Linked DNA regions of Anolis sagrei. The main gene of each other region encodes a partner of the protein of the gene in region 2 in a complex. Links are inferred from orthologs where the notes say so. Each region holds a gene or a part of one and is shown on either strand. Other genes may lie near its edges.

Region 1 (7,482 bases), on a different chromosome or scaffold from region 2:
CAATGAATATCTCGAGTCAAATTCAATCAATTCAACATAGTTTGTGGCAGCCACAAAAACCAAGTTTCTGGAGTATAACACTTTCAAAATCAGTATGGTACTATTAAATAACACTTTCAAATCAGTAACAAAAAATGTTTCAAATTTTGTTACATAGTGTAGTAATTGTTTGTTTTAATTTCTCTGTATTTTCACAGACTGATTCAAAGTATGTTTACTCATCGAGTTCAGTAGAGTTACTTCCTCATGATTGCAACCTTCTTTATTTATTCTTTATTTGACATATTCACTTCTTCTGATCAAAATGAAATCTCCATATAGTGAGTTTGTGGGGTTTAAAAAAACCCTCAAAGCTTTCTTTGGAATCTAAATGGTTTTTTGATTCAGGTTCCTTCCACACAGCCATATAACCCAGAATATCAAGGCAGAAAATCCAACAATATTTGCTTTGAACTGGGTTATTTGCTTCCTTTCTGGAGGAATCCTTTGTCAGGTGTTAGCTGGCCCTAACTATTTCCTGTCCAGAATTCCCGTTTTTTGAGTGTTGTTCTTTATTTACTGTCCTGATAGAATTTTTTTAATACTAGTAGCCAGATTTTGTGCATGGTTTCCTCCTTTCTGTTGAAATTGTCCACACGCTTGTGGATTTCAAGGGCTTCTCTGTATAGTCTGACATGGTGGTTGTTAGAATGGTCCAGCATTTCTGTGTTCTCAAATAATATGCTGAGTCAAGTTGGTTCATCAAGTGCTCAGCCATAACCATAGTACCTTTTTCTGACAAAAAGCACCTCAGTTTAAGGAGGAGCACAAAATACCTTACATATTCCATATATTAGGGCTAGTACCTTCTGTGAGGGGCGGTAGCTTGAGTCTATCCCTCTGGACAAGGATTCGTCAAGCAGCGCTTTGAGTTTCTCAGCAGAATCTTTGCTTTTGGAATGCAAGAAACCAAGAGCTTTCAAGAAGATGGGGTCCAGCTCCAAGTTCATAGCAGCAGCCATAGCAGCACCTTTGAAGGAAGAAAAGAAAGAGAGAAATAACAAGATGGAAAAAGTTTAAACATATGTTTTGCTTGTCAACTAACCTTTGGTTTTTGTTGTTTATTCATTCAGTTGCTTCCTACTCTACCTGAGCTACTACGTCCCAGAAGCACTTTATTAGAGTTTAAGACTCTCTGCACATTGCACTTGCCCGGAAATCCAACATACCTCCTGCCACACCCAGCACTTTTTAACCTGTACCCATCACTGGCCCAGCCCTGGTTTTATTGCATAATGATGTAACATTTTGTTATTGCTTATGTTTTAATTTGCTTTAAATTGTATTGTTATTGTTTTGCTGTTGTGTTGAGGCCTTGGCCTTTGTAAGCCGCATCAAGTCCTGCGGGAGATGCTAGCGGGGTACAAATAAAGTTAATAATAATAATAATGAGCTCATGGACTAGTCCACGCTAGAGCTCCCTGTCGGCCATGGCCACCCCCAGCTTTTTCAAAGTCAAGCCAGTCACTTCAAAGATAACATCCATCCATCTTGCCCTTGAGTCGGTCCCTTTTTCCTTCCATCTCCTCCAAGCTTTCCTATCTTCTCATTATGTGGCCAAAGCACTTTATCTTTGCCTCTAATATCCTTCCCTCCAATGAGTAGTCGGGCTTTATTTCCTGGAATATGTATGGGTTTGATCTTCTTGCGATCCAAGGCACTCACAGAATTTTCCTCCAGTACCACAGTTCAAAAGCATGTATCTTCCTTCACTCAGTCTTCTTTATGGTCCAGCTCTCACATCCGTAGGTGACTACGGGGAATATCATTGCTTTAACTATGCAGATCTTCTCTAGGCTTTGCTGTCTCCTCATGATGTGGCCAAAGTACTTCCACTTTGTCTCTAGTATCCTTCCCTCCAATGAGCAGTTGGGCTTTATTTCCTGGAGGATGGACTGGTTGGATCTTCTCGCAGTCCAAGGCACTCTCAGAACTTTCCTCCAACACCACAGTTCAAAAGCATCTATCTTCCTTTGCTCAGCCTTCCCTAAGGTCCAGTTCTCACATCCGTAGGTTACTACAGCGAATACCATGGCTTTGACTGGGCGGATCTTTGTTGCCAGTGTGATGTCTCTACTCTTCACTATTTTATCAAGATTGGACACTGCTCTCCTCCCAAGAAGTAAGCGTCTCCTGATTTCCTGGCTGCAGTCTGTGTCTGCAGTAATCTTTGCACCTAAAAATACAAAGTCTGTCACTGTCTCCACGTTTCCCCCCTCTATTTCCCAGTTGTTAATCATTCTTGTTGCCATAATCTTGTGTTTTTTGATGTTTAACAGCAACCCAGCTTTTGCGCTTTTTTCTTTCACCTTGATTAGAAGGCTCCTCAACTCCTCCTCGCTTTCGGCCATCAAAGTGGTATCATCTGCATATCTAAGGTTGTTAATGTTTCTTCCAGCAATTTTCACCCCAGACTTGAATTCCTCAAGCCCTGCACATCGCATGATGTGTTCTGCATACAAGTTGAATAGGTTGGGGGAGAGTAGACAACCCTGCTGTACACCTTTCGCAATCTTGAACCAGTCTGTTGTTCCATGGTCAGTTGTTCATTCAATCAGTCGTCTCCGACTCTTCATGACCTCATGGACCAGCCCACGCCAGAGCTCCCTGTCGGCTCCCTGTCACCACCCCCAGCTCCTTCGAGGTCAGTCCAGTCACTTCAAGGATGCCATCCATCCATCTTGCCCTTGGTCGGCCCCTCTTCCTTTTGCCTTCCACTTTACTTGGTCCTTATACAGATTCCTCAGGAGAGAGACAAGGCTAGAAGGGGCCAACTTGGGCCCTCCCTCCAGGTGTTTTGGACTTCAACTCCCACAATTCCTAACAGCCTACCGGCTGTTAGGAATTGTGGGAGTTGAAGTCCAAAACACCTGGAGGGCCCAAGTTAGCCCTTGCTTGCTATAGAGCCAGTTTGACACCACTTTACTCAATGCTCTTGAATCCTGGGAGTTGTAGCATGGTCCTCTTTAGCACAGGAGGAGAAAGGCATTCATTACAATACATTACAATTCATTACCACACAATGGAGAGAAGCTTTCAAAAAAAATAACCCCTTCCTCATTGGCCCCTGCTCTTTCACCTCATTTGGCAGGGAAACCCCGTCGCGAAGGAGAAGTCCAGCCAGCCAGGTGTCTCCTTCTCGTTCTCCTCCTTCTCCCTAGAGGTGCCGGCCGCCTTCTGTCCCCGGCTGGCAGGCAGACACACAACGGAAGTGAGGAGGAGCGCCGGAAGAGGCGGGGCTTGCGGCTTCTGAGGCGGACACTGAGAGGAAGGCGCTGGCTAAGGATCTCCGGTAAGGAGGCTTTGGAGAAATGTCCCATCAAGTCTTTGGCTTTTAAAGCGAGCTTTTGCTTGGAAAAGGATTGTCTTTTTCCCCTCTACACCAGGCCTGGGCCAACTTGGGCCCTCCCTCCAGGTGTTTTGGACTTCAACTCCCACAATTCCTAACACCCTACCGGCTGTTAGGAATTGTGGGAGTTGAAGTCCAAAACACCTGGAGGGAGGGCCCAAGTTGGCCCAGGCCTACTCTACAATTTGCAGTTTGACATCACTTTTCCCTGCCATGGCTCAGTGCTATGAGATCTTGGGAGTTGTAGTTTGGTGAGGCAACAGCACTCTAGCAGAAGACCTTGTAGAACTACAACTCCCAAGATCCCATTGCATTCTATTCTCTCTCTCTCTCTCTCTCTCTCTCTCTATATATATATATATAAATGCTCTGTGCATAATGAGTACCTTAAAAACAAAAGAACCAATGAACGAAATCATACCAAATTTGGCAACAAAATGTCTCACAACACAAGGAGTGGCCATCACTCTAAAAATTATGATTTTGTCATTTGGGAGTTGTAGTTGCTGGGATTTATAGTTCACCTACAATCAACGAGAATTCTGAACTCCCATCATCGATGGAATTGAAGCAAACTTGGCACACAGAACTCCCATGACCAACAGAAAATACTGGAAGGGTTTGGTGGGCATTGACCTTGAGTTTGGGAGTTGTAGTTCACCTACATACAGAGAGCACTGTGGGCTCAAACAATGATGGATCTGGACCAAACTTTGGCACAAGCACTCAATACGCCCAAATATGAACACAGATGGAGTTTGGGGGAAATAGACCTTGACATTTGGGAGTTGTAGCCACTGGGATTCACAGTTCACCTACAATCAAAGAGCATTCTGAACCCCATGAATGATAGAATCGGGATAAACTTCCCACACAGAACCCCCATGACCAACAGAGAATACTTAAGGCCATCCATTCCAACTCCCTTCACCAGGGCAAGAAAACATAATCAAAGTCCTCCTGACCAAGAGCCATCCAGCCATAGGTAGAGATAGATAGATATGATTCACACACAGAGAGATATAGTATCATAGATTTGAAAGGGACCCCTAAAGAAGGACAATGATATGTTGCATGTTCCAGGGTGGGCAAACCAGACACTCTCCACATCAACACTGACAAAGAAACAGCAAGAAATACTGTTTACCCACAAACATAACAACATTACATATATTGGAAACCAGCACTTTCTCATTACTTTATTTTCCAGATCAACACACTGGGCCACAGCAACGCGTGGCAGGGGACAGCTAGTTGAGCAATAATAATAATAATAATAATAATAAACTTTATTTATACCCTGCTACCATCTCTCCAAGGGACTCGGTGCGGCTTACATGAGGCCAAGCCCAACAATACATCAATAAAACAAAAAGCAATAACAAAAACAATCAATACAATACAATTAATATAAATCACATAACCAATAAATAATGATAATAATAATAATAATAATAATAATAATAATAATAATAATACTTTATTTATACCCTGCTACCATCTCCCCAAGGGACTCAGTGCAGCTTACATGAGGCCAAGCCCAACAGTACATCAATAAAACAAAAAGCAATAACAAAAACAATCAATACAATATAATTAATATAAATCACATAACCAATAAATAATGATAATAATAATAATAATACTTTATTTGTACCCTGCTACCATCTCCCCAAGGGACTCGGTGCGGCTTACATGAGGCTGAGCCCAAATGCAACAATACAAGCAATAATAACAGCAATACAAGTAATTAAAATAAACATGGACAATCCAATAATGCAACATTAACAATAAGACCACATGATTAAAAACTATGGGAAGGCCAAATGTAAAATTAAAATTGGAAGTAATGCTGGAACATGGGCGAAAAAGTGATGGGGCATTTGTGGAAAACATACAAGCAGGCCTAAAATGTAAAGTGCTTTGGAGGACAAAGTGCTATGGGATCATTATTCTTGGAAGGCACACAGGAACAGCCACGTCTTCAAGCTCCTCCTAAAGACTGCCAAAGTTGGGGCCTGCCTGATGTCCTTAGGAAGTGAGTTCCAGAGTCGGGGGGCCACCAGTAACATACACGCATTTAAAAACTTATGGCCAGGCCAAATGTAATAGTTTAAAATTTAAAAAATAACACTGGGCATGAACAAGGTAGGATATAACTGGTATAGGGTTTTCAAAGAGAGATGAGGGAATGCAGTCAGTCCTAAATCTGTGGTAAAAGTACATTTTGAGGGCATATTTCTGAGAGTTTTCCTTATTCTGGGAAGACACACTGGAACAACCACGTTTTCAGGCTCCTCCTAAAGACTCCTCCTAAAGACTCCTTGGGAAGTGAGTTCCAGAGTCAGGGGGCCACCACTGAGAAGGCCCTCTCCCTTGTCCCCACCAAACGCGCCTGTGAAGGAAGTGGGAGCGCGAGCAGGGCCTCTCCAGACGATTGAAGAGATTGTGTGGGTTCGTACACAGAAATGCGGTCACTTAGGTAGGCGGGTCCCAAACCATTCAGGGCTTTGTAGGTAAGAACCTGCACCCTGAATTCGGACCGGAAAATGAAAGGCACCCAGTGGAGCTCCTTAAACAGGAGGGTTGACCGCTCTCTGTAAGTTGCGCCAGTTAGTAACCTGACTGCCGCCCATTGTACCAATTGAAATTTCCAATTGAAATTTTCCGAGCAACGAGATCTCCCTTTAAGCGAAAATATATTTAATGGTGAGAAGATACGCAGAAGTTCCGTTGTCAACCTCTTTCTGCATCATTCATTATTTTGATTCTTAGGTTGCTGCCTTTGCCAGAGGAGTTGTGACTTCTTTTAATAATATTTTTTTGTGTAAATGACTTAATTTTTATTTTACGTAATCCACTGTCGAACTTTCAAGAACAGTGCTATTAACAATGAAAGCAATGTAACCAAGGTTTGTCTACACCAGTGGTTCTCAAACTGTGTGTCCCCAGGTGTTTTGGCTTATAACTCCCAGAAATCCCAGCCAGTTTACCAGCTGTTGGATTTCTGGGAGTTGAAGGCCAAAACATCTGGGGACCCACAGGTTGGGAACCACTGGTCTATACTGTAGAATTAATGCACTTGAATTGCCATGGCTCAATGCCATGGAATCCTGGGAGCTGTAGTTTTAGAAAGTCTGTAGCCTTCTCTGCCAAAGAGTGCTGGTGCCTCATCAGACTACAATTACAAGGATTCCATAATATTTTCTGTGGCAGTTAAAGTTGCATTAATTCTACTGTGTATTATGTGTTTTTAAAAAAATCTTCTCACTTCCATAGGGGAAGTGGGAATTGGTACATTTCCTCACAATTTCCAAATAAAAAGCTGAGGCTGCAGATGTGCATGTCAAACGATGTGGTCCCTAGGGTTTAGTAAGTGGAGTCTGTAATTGTACACATCACACAAGATTAAACAGGAGGCAGAAAGATCTAGTCACCAAAATTATGTCGGTATTCTGCAAATCAGGAATGTAATCCCTGTTCCCACTGTATATTGAATAACTTAATGAAATCAGTGGACTACTCAACCATTTAAGTACCATATGCTGAAGAATTTGCATTGGTAGTGTGATGGTAAAAGAGAGACTTTCAAGATGTAAAATTGGGTCTTACTCTGAAAATAATGCATTTTAACCAATTGTTAATTCAAGTTATTTGATTTCCCATGTGAATATTGTTGAATTTTGGATGCAAAGTTTGCTCAAAAACATTGAACTTTTTTAATGGTGTAGGAACTTATTCCTTTGCTGTGTGTGTTAATACGAGAAGGATGATGGATACTATGTTGTTTTGACTGTCTTAAAACAGTGCCATTAAACAGTATTTTCTGCCTTTACTAGCCAATATGAAGGAGGGGTGATGCCAAAAATTGCAGAGAGAAGATTAACTTAATGTAGAGTCCCCATGCCAAGCATATCTTGGTATTGCCCTTTCATTTTAGGCTAGTATAATTCATTTGGTTTGTGAATGAATTGATGTTTCCAATAGGAAAAAGGACTGATTATTTTCATAGTTTAAAATGTATTAAAAATTAAATCATCTACATATATTTTATTAATACCATTTCTTCCTTTAAGAAAAAAATGAAAGCGGTT
Region 2 (8,380 bases):
AACAACCAATAGCCAAACCTAGAGGCTATGTCAAAAGCCTTTTTTCCCTGCCCTTTTCACATTATTGTGCCATTTTTGATCACAATACTGCTGCTATCATAAAGCCTGCTTTAGGTATGCCTTGGTTCAGAATAAAAAAGGTGCTCAAACCAACTTGAAAACCTCTCTTTCAAGTAACAAAATAGACACTCAGCTGTTCAAAAATGTATCACCTAAACATAAATCAAAATGTTCTTTTTTACTGTGTCTTTTCAATGTTATCATACAATATTATTCAGTTGTTAAACATAAACATAAAATACATTCTGGGCAACTTTATTGCCATTTCTTCACACTGTTGAAATTGAAGTCTTGGGGAACAATTATAATCCAGTCATAGAATACACTTTTCCCTGCAGCTCAGTCAATCCCTAACTTATCCAATTAAAAATGAATCCATGCCACAGAACTGGGAAAGACTCCATCAGATACCCTGAAGATCATTTGCAAATCAGAGGAAACAGTACACAAACTAATAATCTTTCTCAGCATATACCTGCTTAATATGTTCACATTGCCCACTATAAGTGGCACCCTCCAGAATGCAGCATCTGGGCAGATCCTTGCTGAGTTAAGTGTGCATACCTGAGTGTGATGGCGCGTGCAACTGGATCGTTACTGTGAATAACTGAGAAAACTCTTTTCACAAACTCATCCACATTCAAGATCTTCTCCAAGTGTTTCTCACTCTGCTGAGTAACTTTCAAAACACAGAGTCTCAGGAAGTTGTTTCTGTTTTGAAATAATATTTTAATTACTAAAAATCATTATGTTTCCAATTTCTATAAAAAGTCTGAGGCAGGTAGCAATAGAAAATCAACAGTACCAAAGAATCACAACTACATCACAATGACAACTGAATGAAAGTCCAAAAAGTGGAAAAATAAAACATAAGTGGGATTTCCTTAGCAAGACTTGCTATTGTTTTCCTCTGAGGTTGAGAGAGTATGGCTTCACCAAATCCCACTTTATGATCAAGGTGGGATTCCAACCCGAACCTCCCTGAGACCTAGACCGCCACTCAAAATGCCATAATCATACTGGCTCTTGCAAATGAATTAATAATTAATAATCATAATTAAAATTCCAGTGCAGAGTGAAAACTCCAAGCAGATGTTATGGCACGTAAGAGTTCTTAAAAGGGTGACTTTGCCATATATCAAATGGGTATTAACAGGCAAAAGGCAAGAAGAAGCATCCCTCAATAGGAAATTTCCATGCTAGGGTGAGGGTACCTACACAGCTTTTCTGTGGTTTCCATAAAATACCACAACACAATTTCCACTTGATCTATCACTAAAGGTTCTTCCATACAATAGCTATAATCCGGGCGAGAACAAGTTAAGGGGGGGGGGGGGAGAGATGACATTTCCGCTAAATGCGCGCTCAATCGCAGCAACAGAGGGAAACCCATTTCAAAAAGAAGGGCTGTGAGGACAGCAGGGGAAGAAAGCCTGGGACCGATCTGTGCGGGGACCTGCTCTGAGAGCTTTTTATCTTTCCCCTTTTAATCCGCATTTTGGCACTGTATGGAAGCACCCTGAGTGGGCAAGACCTATACAGAAGAACATTTCCTAGTCAACCTGCTTCTAACCACAACGCCCCAAGAAATGGCTATCAGCAGTGCTTTGAATTAAAAGCAACTCAGTGCTTCAATACTACAAATCCAGAACATACAAGTTTAGCTTACCCAACTCTGAAAACATCAGCAAGTTTTAAAAATGCTGAGTTAATTAGAATCGGGAATGGATACTTCTGAAAGAGTCTGGGAAAACGGACAACAGCTTCACACTGCTCCCCAAGTTTGCCAGATCGAAGACCTGCAACAGAAAGTAAAATCAGCACAGCACCTAAAGGCATAGAAGCAGAGATAATGAAGCAGACTATGAAATGAAGCAGACTATGAATGTTGGGTGAAATATGTAACAAGGCCATCTGATGCTGGAAGTTAAGCAGGGTCAATTCTGGTTATTACTTGGCTGAGAGACAAAAGGAGCATTTAATTAATTTAGGCAATTTTTATCCCGCCTTTCCCCACTCAAGGGCCTAAGGCAGAGAATTAATACTGGATAATTCATGCAGTTCAACTGCTGTAGTTGAATGCTATGGAACCATTGGAGTTGTAGTTTTACAAGTTTTTTAAAGACTTCTCTGCCAAATTTTGTGTTTAGGCCTGGGTCCTATCACCAAGATTATGGAGAAATATGCAAATACAGGTCTTCCAGAGAATGTGTCCAGAGTAGGGCAACTAAAATGATCAAGGGTCTGGAGAACAAACCCTATGAAGAGTGGCTTAAAGAGCTGGGCATGTTTAGCCTGAAGAAGAGAAGGCTGAGAAGAAACATGATAGCCATGTAGAAATATGTGAGATAAAGTCATAGGGGGGACGGAGCAAGCTTGTTTTCTGCTGCCCTGGAGACTAGGACCTGGAACAATGGCTTCAAACTACAAGAAAGGAGATTCCATCTCTGAACATTAGGAAGAACTTCCTGAGTGTGAGAGCCGTTCAGCAGTGGAACTCTCTGCCCCGGAGTGTGGTGGAGGCTCCTTCTTTGGAAGCTTTTAAACAGAGGCTGGATAGCCATCTGTCAGGGATGCTTTGAATGCAATATTCCTGCTTCTTGGCAGGGGGTTGGACTGGATGGCCCATGAGGTCTCTTCCAACTCTTTGATTCTATGATTTTTTAATTTGATTTATGTCTAATTGTAGTGTATAATTGTAATTGTTTGTACTGGCATTGAATTTTTGCCATTGCTTATGTGTAAACAGCTTTGAGCCCCCCTCGGGGCGAGAAAAGCGGTATACAAATACTGTAAATAAATAAAAATAAAATAAATACAGTTTGGCGCCACTTGAATAGCCATGGCGGCACATAAATGTCGTAAATAAATAGTTTGGTGAGGAACCAGCACAATTTGGCAGTGAAGGTTGTAAAACTACAATTCCCAAGATGCCATCGCCTCGAGCCATGACGTGTCAGACAGCACTAATTCTCCTGAAAACAAACCCCGCCTCTCCCTTTCAAATTCCCCGCCTCAGGATAAAGGGGCGGGGCTTCGGTCAAACAAGGCCATCACTGTGACTTCGGCGCATGCGCACATCCCTCGCTTTCCCTCTTACCTTTATCCAGCTCCATGAGGGCGGAGTTTGCATCCAGTTCTTGTTCGCCATAGCCGGCGTCGGCAAGAAAGGATTTGGAAGCCGAGGCCATGTTGTTGTGTAGTATACAAACAAAACCCCTCACAGGAAAGGGAGGGAGAGAAAAAAGTTTATTATTTCCATTTCCACTCGGACACAACTCGGCGCGCACCGCCTTCCCTCTCCCTCACGAGCAGAAGCTAGCGCGCATGTGCAAACGGGCGCGCGTGCGCCTTGACGTGCCTAGCGCGCATGCGCGCAGTCCGGTTTTTAAGGAGTCGATGCGCATGCGCCACTGCAAGGAAAGCCGGTTCTCATTTCAATGGAAAGCTGAAGGGCGGTGGGCGTGGTCTCGCGAGGAAGGTGGTAAAGTGGGAACCAATAGGAAAACAGGGGCGTGGTTTGTGTTTCTGCTATAACCAATGGGAAGCAAGGAAGTGACTTTGGCGCGTAGTTCGGGTTGGCGGGAGTTAGGGGATGGGCTGGGAGTTTCAGTTGGCGCCGCGCGGAGAGCCAAGGAGGTCTTGAGCTCTGTTTACCATGCTGTGCCGCTCCCTCGTCCATCGCTGCCAAGGTGGACCGCATGGTGGGTTTGGATTTCTGTGCTTGCAATATATATTGCGGGGAACACATGGGGATTTTAGTGCCCTCCAGGTGTTTTGGACTCCAACTCCCACCATTCCTAACAGCCTCAGGCCCTTTCCTTTTCCCCCTCAGCCGCTTAAGCGGCTGAGGGGGAAAAGGAAGGGGCCTGAGGCTGTTAGGAATGGTGGGAGTTGGAGTCCAAAACACCTGGAGGGAGGGCCCAAGTTTACCCATGCCTGGCCCATAAACACTGAAGCAGAAGTGACCTTTGGTATTAGCAGCTAATTATTGTTTTTCCCCACCTTATTATTGTTTCTATGTAGGTCTGCTGCCAAGATTTTCCTTACAGCACCTTCTAGGGTGCTATTCTTGTACTAGAGAAGATGACCATCCGTCCTTTGGAGAAATGGGAATCCCGGTTCCTCCTTTCGGGTGCACCTTTTCAACAGGTACAATGGAGGGGGTTGTCCAATTTGTGAACATTTGTAGTTCTTTCCTTTTGTGTTTAGATTACGATCAGTAGTCCGCGGTGGCGCAATGGGTCCACAAACTTTTTAAACAGAGGGCCAGGTCACAGTCCCTCAAACAGTTGAACAAATTATAATTTGAAAAAAATATGAATAAATTCCTATGCACACCGCACATATCTTATGTGTAGTGCAAAAAACACATAAAACAGTATAGTAATTGAAAAGAACAATTTTAACAAATATAAACTTGTTAGTATTTCAATGGGAAATGTGTGCCTGCTTTTGGCTGATGAGATAGGGTTGTTGTTGTGGTGTGCTTTCACGTCATTTCAGACTTATGTTGACCCTGAGTGAGGGCTGGGTAAATGACCTTGGAGGGTTAAACCCTCATTTTGTTGAACTTCTGACCTGACGGTTGGCTGAATTGCTGACTGGAAGGTCGGAGGTTCAAATCCACAAGACAGTTCCTGCCAACATAGCAGTTCGAAAACATGCAAATGTGAGTAGATAAATAGGTACTGCTTTGGCAGGAAAAGACAGAGACACTCCAAGAAATCTTGCCGGCCACACAACCAGGAAGGTGACAACACAGGCTCTTTGGCTTGAAAATGAAGAAAGCACCTTCCCAGAGCCTGAGATGAGCACCACCTCCAGAAGCTGGAAATGAACGGAGAACCCTCTGCCTTTGTTTGTGTTTGTGTATCATATATAATTATAAATGCACTGACTCTTTGTCTGTGTATGTAAATAATAATAATAAACTTTATTTATACCCCGCCACCATCTTCCCCAACGGGGACTTGGGAAGGCTTACATGAGGCCAAGCCCGGACAACACATTACAGCAAAATAAAACCAAAACATAAGCAACAAGCAACAGCATCAAAATTACATTAAAAAACATATGAATACAATAACAAAGTAACATTCCAATAAACACAATCACAGTGACAGTGGGAAGGCCACATGTTCAGAATAAAATGTTTAAAAACTCGAATGAGATAAGAATAGGAGTAAGTTATTTGCAGGGAGCTCATAAAGAAACAAAGGATTGTGAAACTAAACTTCCCATTAAGTTGGAAATACATAAATAATAAATCAGGGAGAAGGGTGGAATATAAATAAAGCGTATTATTTGATACATAGCAAGATTAGTATACAGCAAACAAGGTCACTGCTGGCTTTTGTATTTGATCACCTTTCAGACACTTCCCAAGTGTCTAGGACTGCGTGATGTATCAGCGAATGCGTGCAGATCACAGACTGACATCTAGTCTTGATCTCTTAATACTGTCCTGTAGGTTTATCTCCATTTTACTTCTGTGTTTTTTTTGTCAAGTAGGTAAGCAGTAATTTTAGCAGAGTGTTATACATTACTGTTACTTGTAAAACTTTTAGAAACAGACATTTTGCTTATTTATTTTCCAGCTCCCAATGCACAACATATTCTTGCTGTTGCAAATGAAGAGGGGATCGTTAGGCTGTATGATACTCATGCATCAACAAGCAGCAAAAAGATTTTTAGAGGTAAACACAACACTTGATTGTGCTAAATTGTTCTGATAAATGCTGGGCCATTTTTAGGATGTGCTTAAACTTACTTGGCATTCTTGAAAAATTGAATTTCACAGCATACAGAGAGGTAAATAAATAGACCATATTCTTTTAACTCTTAATGATTAATGTGGATTTTGTTTTTTGTTTCCCTTCAGAATGGCAAGCGCATTCAAATGCTGTTTTTGACCTTGCCTGGATGCCCAGAGAACACAAAATTGTGAGTAAAGTAGTATTATCTTGCCCTTATGTTCAACGGGGCTTAGAAGAAGCCAAATTTCTAGGAAAGTAAAACATTATAGTCAATGGGCACAAGTATGGGAACATATTTATGGGGGAAATTGTTGGACCTTGCAATAGAAAGCTTGAGACAAAATTACTTCCAAGACACTTCTGATTCCATTAATTCTATAAGGTATATATATTTTGCATTCTAAGTACTAAGACACATCTGTATATCTGTTAACTTGTACTCTCAAGTCAAGCTATGTATATGCTTGTTTACTTTCTTCATGTACACCTGAGAGTAGGTCCCACTGAATTTGCTGGAGTAAACATGTATATAGCACTTCTCTCAAACTTTGTTGTACATAAGATAGTAAAGGTTTCCCCTGACATTAAGTCTAATTGTGTCCAGTTCTGGGAGGTGATGCTCATCTCAATTTCTAAGCTGAAGAGCTGACATTATCCATAGACATCTCCAAAGTCTTGTGGTCGGCATGACTGCATGGAGTGCCATTACCTTCTTGCAGAAGCGATACCTATTGATTTACTCACATTTGCATGTTTTCAAACTGCTAGATTGGCAGAAGCTGGGGCTAACAGTGGGAGCTCACCCCGCTCCCCACACTGGAACCGCCAACCTTTCGGTCAGCAAGTTCAGCAGCTCAGTGGTTTAACCCACTGCGCCACCAGGGGGCCCTTGCTGTACATAGTTGATGAAATATCAGGCTTTCCCTTCAAAAGGCCCTGTCTCAATAAGTTTATAGTCTGATAAGATATTCAACAGTTTGGTGTCACTCACTGCAAATAATAGTTAACTCATATTTTTATCGTTCAGGTAACTGCTTCAGGAGATCAGACGGCAAAAGTGTGGGATGTAAGGACTGGTGAACTTCTTGGGGTGTGCAAAGGGCACCAGTGCAGCCTGAAGTCCGTTGCTTTCTCCAAATTTGAGAGTGGTAAGTGTTAATGTTATCATCATCATCTGGCCATATTGACAATCCCCCTTTAAGAAGAGAACATGGGAATTTAAATCACCCAATTGCAAAACAGAGCTGGGAGTGTGGAGGGCTAAGAGCCTGGATTAGAATGGCCTGGACATATCTCTTGAAGAGGAGAGTTCCTCAAAGGGATTTGGTATTGACCTTTATCCCTTTTTTAAAAAATGAAGCATCTTATTTTTATATTTCACAGCGGTGTTCTGTACAGGAGGAAGAGATGGAAACATCATGGTTTGGGATACTCGATGTAATAAAAAAGGTATACTAAGTATCTGTTTATCTTATCTCCATTCTCCTTCCCCCAGCCTTCATAAAGCTTTGTAAGGCTTTTCCTTCTGCTGAGATACAAATATAATCCTGAAACTAAAGCCCCTTCCACACAGCTGAATAAAATCCCACATTATCTGCTTTGAACTGGGATATATGGCAGTGTGGACTCAAATAACCCAGTTCAAAGCGGATATTGTGGGATTTTCTGCCTTGATATTCTGGGTTATAGGACTTTGTGGAAGGGCCCTAAGTTTATGATGCAGTGGAGGTTGCTTTTAACATTTGTTCTTGAAAACCGCTTTCCAGATGGATTTTACAGACAGGTGAAACAAATAAGTGGAGCCCACAACATAACAGACAAGCAGACGCCCTCCAAACTAAAGAAGAAGAAGCAGAACTCAAGAGGCCTTGCTCCATCAGTGGTAAGGATCCAAAAGCTAAAAGGTGTCTTGCATTTTGAAAAAGTTAGTTCTGTAAGTTGTTCTGTTATGGCTTTTCCAGGTTGAAATCTCTCTGAGCTCAAAAGTAAACCGGAAATAGTAAATGCCAGGAAGAAAAGTGAGCAAATGTGGTGAAACAGATCTTTGCTAGTCCCCAGTAATAGTTATCCTCAATGATTCCTTGCTTTCGGCCAGAGAGGTGAAGAAACCAAAAGGGTGCTGTGACATCACAAGACAATTTTGCTAAGCCGATCACTACCAGACAATTGCCTTTTTTTCAGTCTGACACACAAACATCTCTCTTTTCATTTTATTCTTGTGTGGTGTTTGTTTCTTTCACATAAACCCCAAACAAAATGACCAGACAATTGTGGACTCCTAGGCTCCTACACTGCCATATAATTTCTCATCATTGTGGTGATTACTCGCTGTTATCCTTACTTGTGTAGATCTGCTTCCTTAATTACCTTTTTCTGCATGGCCTCTTGTGTTTGTGACTTGTGTGTGTGTTAAATGACTGCTACAGTCTCTGCATCTGCCTACAGTGCTGTACTGTTAGCCATTTGTAAATGATGGATAATTTCAAAAGCAGAGGAGATGAAGAAGAAGCTTACTAAGCTATGTTTACAGGGAATGCCAAGATAAATGGCTAAGATATCAG

Evidence for each region.
Region 1: INTS7 (region 2) and INTS12 share a complex: the UniProt entries of both Homo sapiens proteins name them as parts of the integrator complex. The link is inferred for Anolis sagrei from reciprocal best matches to the Homo sapiens genes INTS7 and INTS12.

What each region holds. Positions count from the first base shown.
Region 1 is NC_090025.1:29,043,384-29,050,865, forward strand, and holds the start of INTS12 (integrator complex subunit 12), read right to left. Parts: upstream 3,251-7,482; 5' UTR 3,119-3,250; intron 1,010-3,118; 5' UTR 1,002-1,009; coding exon 846-1,001; intron 1-845. Other genes in the region: GSTCD (glutathione S-transferase C-terminal domain-containing protein), read left to right, coding at 7,471-7,482. UniProt on the Homo sapiens protein: Component of the integrator complex, a multiprotein complex that terminates RNA polymerase II (Pol II) transcription in the promoter-proximal region of genes.
Region 2 is NC_090021.1:32,418,887-32,427,266, forward strand, and holds the start of INTS7 (integrator complex subunit 7), read right to left. Parts: upstream 3,408-8,380; 5' UTR 3,252-3,407; coding exon 3,161-3,251; intron 1,860-3,160; coding exon 1,730-1,859; intron 772-1,729; coding exon 625-771; intron 1-624. Other genes in the region: DTL (denticleless protein homolog), read left to right, coding at 3,719-3,764, 4,087-4,212, 5,661-5,759, 5,945-6,006, 6,847-6,967, 7,203-7,268, 7,586-7,701. UniProt on the Homo sapiens protein: Component of the integrator complex, a multiprotein complex that terminates RNA polymerase II (Pol II) transcription in the promoter-proximal region of genes.